2 linked regions of the Drosophila melanogaster genome follow. Changing the gene in region 2 together with the main gene of any one other region gives a genetic interaction. Each region holds a gene or a part of one and is shown on either strand. Other genes may lie near its edges.

What was found.
Region 1: of CG5445 (region 2) and Txl, changing one suppresses a phenotype caused by changing the other (phenotypic suppression), as found in Drosophila melanogaster (one study listed by BioGRID).

Annotation. Positions count from the first base shown.
Region 1 is NT_037436.4:5,763,692-5,767,445, forward strand, and holds Txl (Thioredoxin-like), read left to right. Parts: upstream 1-2,154; 5' UTR 2,155-2,318; coding exon 2,319-2,684; intron 2,685-2,741; coding exon 2,742-3,025; intron 3,026-3,084; coding exon 3,085-3,298; 3' UTR 3,299-3,393; downstream 3,394-3,754. Other genes in the region: CG10576 (uncharacterized protein), read right to left, coding at 1-85, 743-905, 968-1,104, 1,396-1,493, 1,650-1,737; Ppat-Dpck (bifunctional phosphopantetheine adenylyltransferase - Dephospho-CoA kinase), read right to left, coding at 3,445-3,754.
Region 2 is NC_004354.4:17,280,933-17,284,686, reverse strand, and holds the start of CG5445 (uncharacterized protein), read right to left. Parts: upstream 2,192-3,754; 5' UTR 2,060-2,191; coding exon of another isoform or gene 1,994-2,059; 5' UTR 1,843-1,993; intron 1,784-1,842; 5' UTR 1,712-1,783; intron 926-1,711; exon of another isoform or gene 873-925; coding exon of another isoform or gene 318-872; intron 256-317; coding exon of another isoform or gene 214-255; exon of another isoform or gene 187-213; intron 1-186. Other genes in the region: CG8661 (uncharacterized protein), read left to right, coding at 214-255, 318-872; CG8664 (uncharacterized protein), read left to right, coding at 1,994-2,059, 2,298-2,876.

The DNA.
Region 1 (3,754 bases), on a different chromosome or scaffold from region 2:
TCAGCTCGTGACTGAGCATGCCCTCAATGGGCTTGCACTTATACGACTCGCTGATTTGTTGCACTGCATCGGTGAGGGAGTAGTTCTGTAAGGATACAGAATTGAAACATAAATATTAAGTATGAAATAAAATGGAAATAGTTCAAAGCAGAGATAAAGAAAACATTCCAATTCCCTTTGACTAATCTTAATCAAATATCATAGTATACTATAGATAACGCAAAATAACAATAACTGATCGGCATTATCATTGCGATTGTGGACAACTTTAAAGACCGAACATTTCAAGTATCTAAACTTGTTCAGTTCACGAAATCGACACTGTTGATCTCTGCAGACGTTGAGCTGTGCTGAGCCACGAGTTAAGGCAGCAGACAATCCGTTGCCTGCAGATTACAATTCCGACATATCTATAAACTGGAGATGTGGACAAATTTAAAGACCGAACACTTCTATGGAATGAACTTGTTCAGTTCACGAAATTGACACAGTTTCTATCCGCAGGTGTTGAGCTGATCTGTGTCAGAGTTTGAGCGCAGTCAATCCGTTGCCTGCAGAAGAAATAACCTTGTGGACAACTGACAAGAAGCCTCCAGTCCTGAATAATAGGCCAGGGCAATTACCAGCTGCCACAGCTGATCTTTGCAAGTGTTGAGATGTTCAGTCGCTGGAGAATCGCGGCAGACAATCCGTTTCTTGCAGGGATTAACGGAGGATTACCTAGAAGTAAGGGAGGACTCACATTGGCGCCGGACTTGAGCAGACGTAAGGCAGCCTGGACAGCCCAGTAGGCGGCGAGGATGACATCGGCCTGGCGACCACTGATCTTCTGATCCGCAGCAGCGCCTACCACAATTGTGTGAGCGGCCACGGCAATGAAACCATCAATGTGGGCACCCAGATCGCTGTAGAAAAGAAATGTTACGTATTTAGTGGCGGTATATGTGGAATAGGAGGTTCAACTTACATTTTGACCACATCACCGGCCTTTAACGTGTAGTCAGCATCGTTTTTGGCTGGCGAGAAGTGGCAGACACAGTTGTTGACGGACAGACAGGTGGGAAAGGCAATGCCCTTCTTCAGGTCTTTCTCCTTTTTGTATACCTGTTTGTGAAAGATCGATAAAAGCATTAGATTGCTTGTTCGTTGTACTATATATCAATGATAGTGCGCGGTGTGTCCTCAGATCTCATAATCTGTAAATCCTCGGGACCTTTTGGAGAGCACACAAGCCGGGCACGTGGAGCATTGGAGTCCCCGCGTGCGCCTGGCGACCACGAGGTGATCCCCAGCCCGCACAGCACATGGCTCGCCATCGGGAAACCCTCAAAGGTGTAAGTCTTAATCATTGGACATGAAATTGGCGCGAATGACCGCCAGGTGGCCACCACTTACTTTGCCGGTCTCCTCGGTGAGCTGATTGTCGCCCTGGGTGCAGATCTCCCGGACGGAGGCATCAACCACGCAGAGTCCAATTACCGCCTTGAGGGTTTCTAAAATTAAACGAGCAGACAGAGTCCAGAAATAGGCAGATTAACCAACGCGTGGCGCACAAGGGAAAGCGGCATTCGGTGCATTGTGTAAGCGCCACGTAGCAGCGACTCCAGGAATCGGCCAGCGTTCGCTGTTTCCGGCCAAGGAATACTCACTGTTGACGATTTCGCCGGCCAACTTATACTTGGTCACCACCAAATCCTCGGCGATGGTCTTCTCGGGCTCCTTTTCCACATCTGCCATTGTACTTGACTCTAATAATTTTAAAATGGCGACTTAATGAAAATGCGACCGACTGAAACACCACGAGGTAATGAACGTGTGGCCAGGCGCAGCGCAGGTATCGAAAGTTCCAGTGGCGTGTATGGTGGGACCGCTCATTCGCCTTGACAACCCTGGCAAATGGGCGGTAAGCTTAAGATGAGCGTGAAAGCGTAGATTGCTAGTCGTAAACACTGAATGAATTTTAAATAACACTTTGAGCTATATCAAATGAGAATATTTCATAGTTTTACATATTGTAATCCACTAATATTTCAATAAAAGTTTAAATATTAAGTTTCGGTTTTTTTCTATTACACATAAATGGTCCCTCTAAAAATAGGAAGTCAAAGAGCTCGAAATATCGATACCATCACAGTGTGACCGCTTGTGGAATACCGCATTCGGTATTTTTCTTAGCACGAATTTGGACTAAATGCATATTACAAGTCATCTTTAACAAAAAAAATTTGCATTGAACGTTAATAATAACATTTACTTGCTTAAATCCAATTCGGCTGCCGAAACAAAAGCTCAATTAATAGAAACCTAATCCTATCACCATGTCCGTGCGCGTGATCAACGACGAGTCCCACTTCCAGGCGGAGTTGGCCCAAGCGGGCATTCAATTGGTTGTGGTGGACTTCACAGCTTCGTGGTGTGGTCCCTGCAAGCGGATTGCGCCCATCTTCGAGACGTTTCCAACAAAGTACCCAAAGGCCATCTTCCTGAAAGTGGATGTGGACAAGTGCCAGGACACGGCTGCTGGACAGGGCGTTTCGGCCATGCCAACATTCATCTTCTACAGGAACAGGACCAAGATCGATCGCGTCCAGGGTGCGGACGTCAATGGGCTCGAGGCCAAGATCCAGGAGCACATCGGTACATCCGGTGGCGAGGAGGGGGGCGAGGATTACGGGCAGGGATTGGTAATATAGTGCAGTATTTGGAAATGTTCCAAAAATAATCCCTAATCCTTCTTACAGATGGAACTGAATACATTTATTTCGAAGCAGGAGTGCGAGTGCCTCAACGAAGCTGATGACCACAACTTAAAGCACGCCCTGGCCTCCGCCGGTGGCTACCTGCAGTCCGATTGCGATGAGCAGCTCATCCTGTCCATCACCTTTAATCAGGCTGTGAAGATCCACTCTTTGAAGTTCAAGGCACCTTCGCACCTGGGTCCCAAGGATGTGAAGCTGTTCATTAACCAGCCCCGCACGATTGACTTTGACATGGCCGAGTCCATGAACAGTGTGCAGGATCTAAGGTAGCTATTGCCTTCTCTATGGCTGCTTAGCTCTTCTCACTGTTCAATCCATTTTGCAGCCTGGCTCAGAAGGAGCTGGAGAGTGGAGTGCCCGTGAATCTGCGCTACGTCAAGTTCCAGAATGTGCAAAACATCCAAATCTTCGTGAAGAACAATCAGTCAGGTGGCGATGTGACGCAGATTGATTATATCGGCTTCATCGGTTCCCCCATCATGACCACCAAGATGAACGACTTCAAGCGAGTGGCTGGCAAGAAGGGCGAGAGCCACTAAGGTTCCATTGAAATTTTCAGCGTTTTTCCCCAATGACGTCCCAGCATTTCTTTTCAACTTTGGACTTACAACTAAACAATATACAACAAATGCATAAAAAATCATACAAAATAAGGATCAACAAGATAATCTAAATATCCATCGGGTTAAAGGCTGCTCTGGTAAGAGTCCAGTTCCTTGGTAAGCATTTTCCACGCACGCTCCGCCTGTTTCTGGGTGAATTCGTGATCCCATTGCGAACTGAATATCACATGCGACTTGGCCACGATCTCAGAATTGGGCACCTGACTGGCCAGTCGCTTTTGGGCCTCCACTTCGCTCAACTTGTTGCGCTCAATAATCCGCCGCACAGCCTCATCCGGTGGCACAATCATGGACCACACCTCATGGCAATTGGTCTCCCAGCCCGCTCGCAGCAGCACCGCTGCCTCCAGGACCACCACACGCGGCACGTCC
Region 2 (3,754 bases):
ATATATAAATATCATCAGTACGTATACTACCAATATAATATAATATCCGTGCAATCCTAACATTTAGCTCTAATAATAGAGTTATGAACCTAGATATCTATTATATTTCTGTTTGTACAAGACCTACCTGACCACTAAAGGGTTAAAAAACCAAGCGATATAAAAGGGCCGAATCGGAAACGGTTTTCATAGTTGCTTATAAACAACGACAGCATGAAGTATACCATTCTTATTTTGGCTTTGGGCCTGTTTTGCGTAAGTTTTGCAATGAAAAATACAAATTATTTGCGCAATGGTAGCAAATATTTAAATTCCAGGTAAATGCATTGGTGGCTCCTGTTCCCAGCGCCCTGGACTCTTCGTCAGAACTGGACGATGTGACCGATGGTAGCTTGGAGGTGGAGGACTTTGGCGTGCTGAGTACGACCTACAAATCCCTAAAGATCGCTCTGCGAAGCATCAAGGGACTCAATTGCATAATCAAGTGGGTGGCGGGCATCAAGGACAGTGCGACCCAATTTAACACGGACGTGGTCGTGTGCGGCGTCACCGCCAGCAAGGATGTGACCAAATTGATCAACGCCAACAATAAGATCCTCAGCACTTGCAACGACCTCATCAATCTGAGGTCCAACACTTGCCCCCAAACGGACGACGAGGAGACGAAGGTCTCTGGCAGCTGCTTTGTTAAGACTCTGCGCAAGGTGTGGTCCCTAAAGAAGCAAGTGGACAATGCCATCAAGCTGGCCAAGAAGATCCCGCAAACCGGTCCCAATGCCGTCGCCTGTGTCTCCGATGCCGTCAACACCCTGACCACCTACTACACCGCCTTTCCCCAGAACATCATCAGCTGCTCCAAGCTGACTTCTTAGGGGTTTAGTGCCCGCAATTGATTCGAGCATTCAATAAAAATCCGTGTTATCACAGTTTTTGCTAGTTATTTAATTTTGTTAGAGGAGAGAAAGCCTTTTTATTACTATTCGTAACTAAATTTTTATAACCGTTACTCGTAAAGTAAAAGGAAGCGTTTTCATATAGTCTTGATTAGGATCAATAGCCGAGTCGATCTGGTATATCGTATATATGATATTTTTTATATTTTTATTAGTCTTGCGAATTTCCATCGATTTGCAAAAAGTATTAAGTGGAATATAACAAGTTGCTCTATAACATACCTATATTTGTATATTTGTACAATTTATACAATTTTTAGTCAGAGTAAATTAATAGTAATTCAATTATAATACAAATTTATATTTTATTGAGTACAGAATAGTTAGATAATTGTTTAGTTACTGTTAACCAAATGTCTGCACCCCTAAACGAAAACCAGTGCGAGTGTACTTTCTATCACTATTGAATATTGATAAAAATGGAAGTGTGACAAAAACAATATCTCAACAGATATGATCACCTTAACCTAGGGCCATGAGACAGGTTTGAAGATAAAAGGCTCTCTCTTTGGTATAATTAGTTTTTTAATATACTCGATACTTCTTTTACTGTAATGCTCATGCTTATTTATAAATTAGATTTAAGCCACTTTAAATATTAAAAAGCTGTCACTCAGACGTTGACAACGTAGATAGGTGACTTTTCCAAGGGTTTTGTTTTGTTAAATAAAATACCCATTGATTTCTTTGAGCGATTATGCATCGAATGCATCGCGTCGATATATGGGAGTGCTTGCGGTGGGTGGTGTCGGACTTACCTGAGGAATCCCTGTCCAATCTGGACAATCTGGCTATATGACTATCTCGCTATCTTCCTTTGTGTGTCCACGCTGCATAGATAATGTCAAATTAGTTTCGGACTTTGTGTGGTGGTTTAATTAAAGCATACATATCGCCGGCACATTGGTTTTCCAAAGTGTATGTGCAAATCGAACCTCCGAATCGCCACTTAACTGATATGGCTCCGGCCAATCGTCTATATAAACAAACCCCACGGATCGGTCAGCAAACATTCGCCAGTGAAACCATCCACCAGTAACATGAAAGTACTCAACGTCTGCCTCTTGGTCGTGGCCTCTGCCAGCTTCCTTCTGGCCACAGCGAACGTAAGTCAGACAACCTTATGAAGAACTACTAGCAAATACAGTCAAGTGCCATCGTTATTAGAGTTTGAAAAAAATCCGAAAAGTGCAGCAAACAAAGATTTAATGAACAGAATCGTCGCTTAAAGCAAATATATTTTGTTCAATTTTTTTTCCGAAGTGCTTTTAAAACGTGTGCTACTTGAAGTCAAATATTTTGACAGTTATTCCAAAATCGAATCGTATTCCTAACTTGTTTTAGGCCAGTGCCGTAGGTGCTTTCGAGGACTTCGAGCCCTACACCGATGCCGAGCTTAAGGATCTCTACGCCGCCGAGTTGATGGCAATGGAGGATGAGTTCATGGGCGTCGAGCAGTTCGGCTTCATTGGATCGTGCCGCAAGATTCTGTGGGCCGGATACAAGGGCATCAACGGCACCAAGTGCATCGTCGAGGAGGTGGCCAATGTGCTGCTCACCTGCACCAACTACGTAGACGACCTGAGCACCTGCACCGGCGATATTCCCAAGGATATCCAGGCCATGCTGAACAATGTCAAGCAAATGATCATCACCAGCAACAAGATCATCAACATGAAGTCCGAGCTGTGCGCCTCCACCTCCAGGAGCGTCGTCTCCTCCACCAAGAGCTTCATGCGTTGCACCCTGAAGGCCTTCTACGCCACCATGTCCCTTGTCCGCCGCATGAACACATTGATCAAGCAGGGCGCAGCCCTGCCCTTCAACACCTCTTCCTGCTACGTCGATGCCACCAAGAAGGTGGTCGACGGCTGCAACGCCTTTGTGCCCAACATCAATACCTGCATAGCCAGCATGACATAAGTTGGTAATAAAACCATGAAATTATGAGCAAAGCAGATGCTTTCTTCCTGATTTGGGAGTTCGGGGTGTGACAACATATCTTATACACCTTTCTAGCCTGTATAGTGTCTCAGATCACGAGATACCGACGGACCGACAAACATGGCTTTTTTTTGCTGTTTCAAACTTTTAAACGAATGTGACACATACAGAGCTTTGGAAATCGATGTGCTCATTATTACTAACTGACTTATTTGACTTTAACCACCTTCAACCTTATGTTCTATACCCATAAAAAAGGATGTTATATGTTCAAAAATCTTAATTCTATTGCCAATAGACAGACTTCCTGGATATTCTGTACTCGATGATTCAAATGATGGGCGCCAGCGGTATCAATGGGTCTGGACTCCAACAAAAGCAACAAATAGAATATGAAGGGAGTAAACACGTTACTCGTAGAGTAAAAAGGTATACTAGATTCGTTGAAAATGTATTGGTCTCCGACCATGTCAAGTATACAATACGTCGATACGTTCCGACCAAAATTCCTTAGCCACACCGAGTTGGTTAGCGCGGTGGCTGGAAATTTTAGGTATAAAAATTGATTTACAAAATTAAGAAAAACTTACCACACCGCCAACGGCAAAGGAAAACATGGGGCCCACGATGCCACGCCCACTCTACCGCCCACAAGCCGCCTAAAACTGCCACGCCCACACTTTTGATCAATTTTTCTTATTTTATTTTCCAATTCCTATCGATATCCCAGAAAAATAATAAAATTTCGCGCTCGCATTCACACTAGCTGAGACACGGTTATATAATTATCGGGGAACTCGACTAAAGCATTCTCTCTTTTGTTTTAAATTATATATATGTATTTATTGTTTCATTCG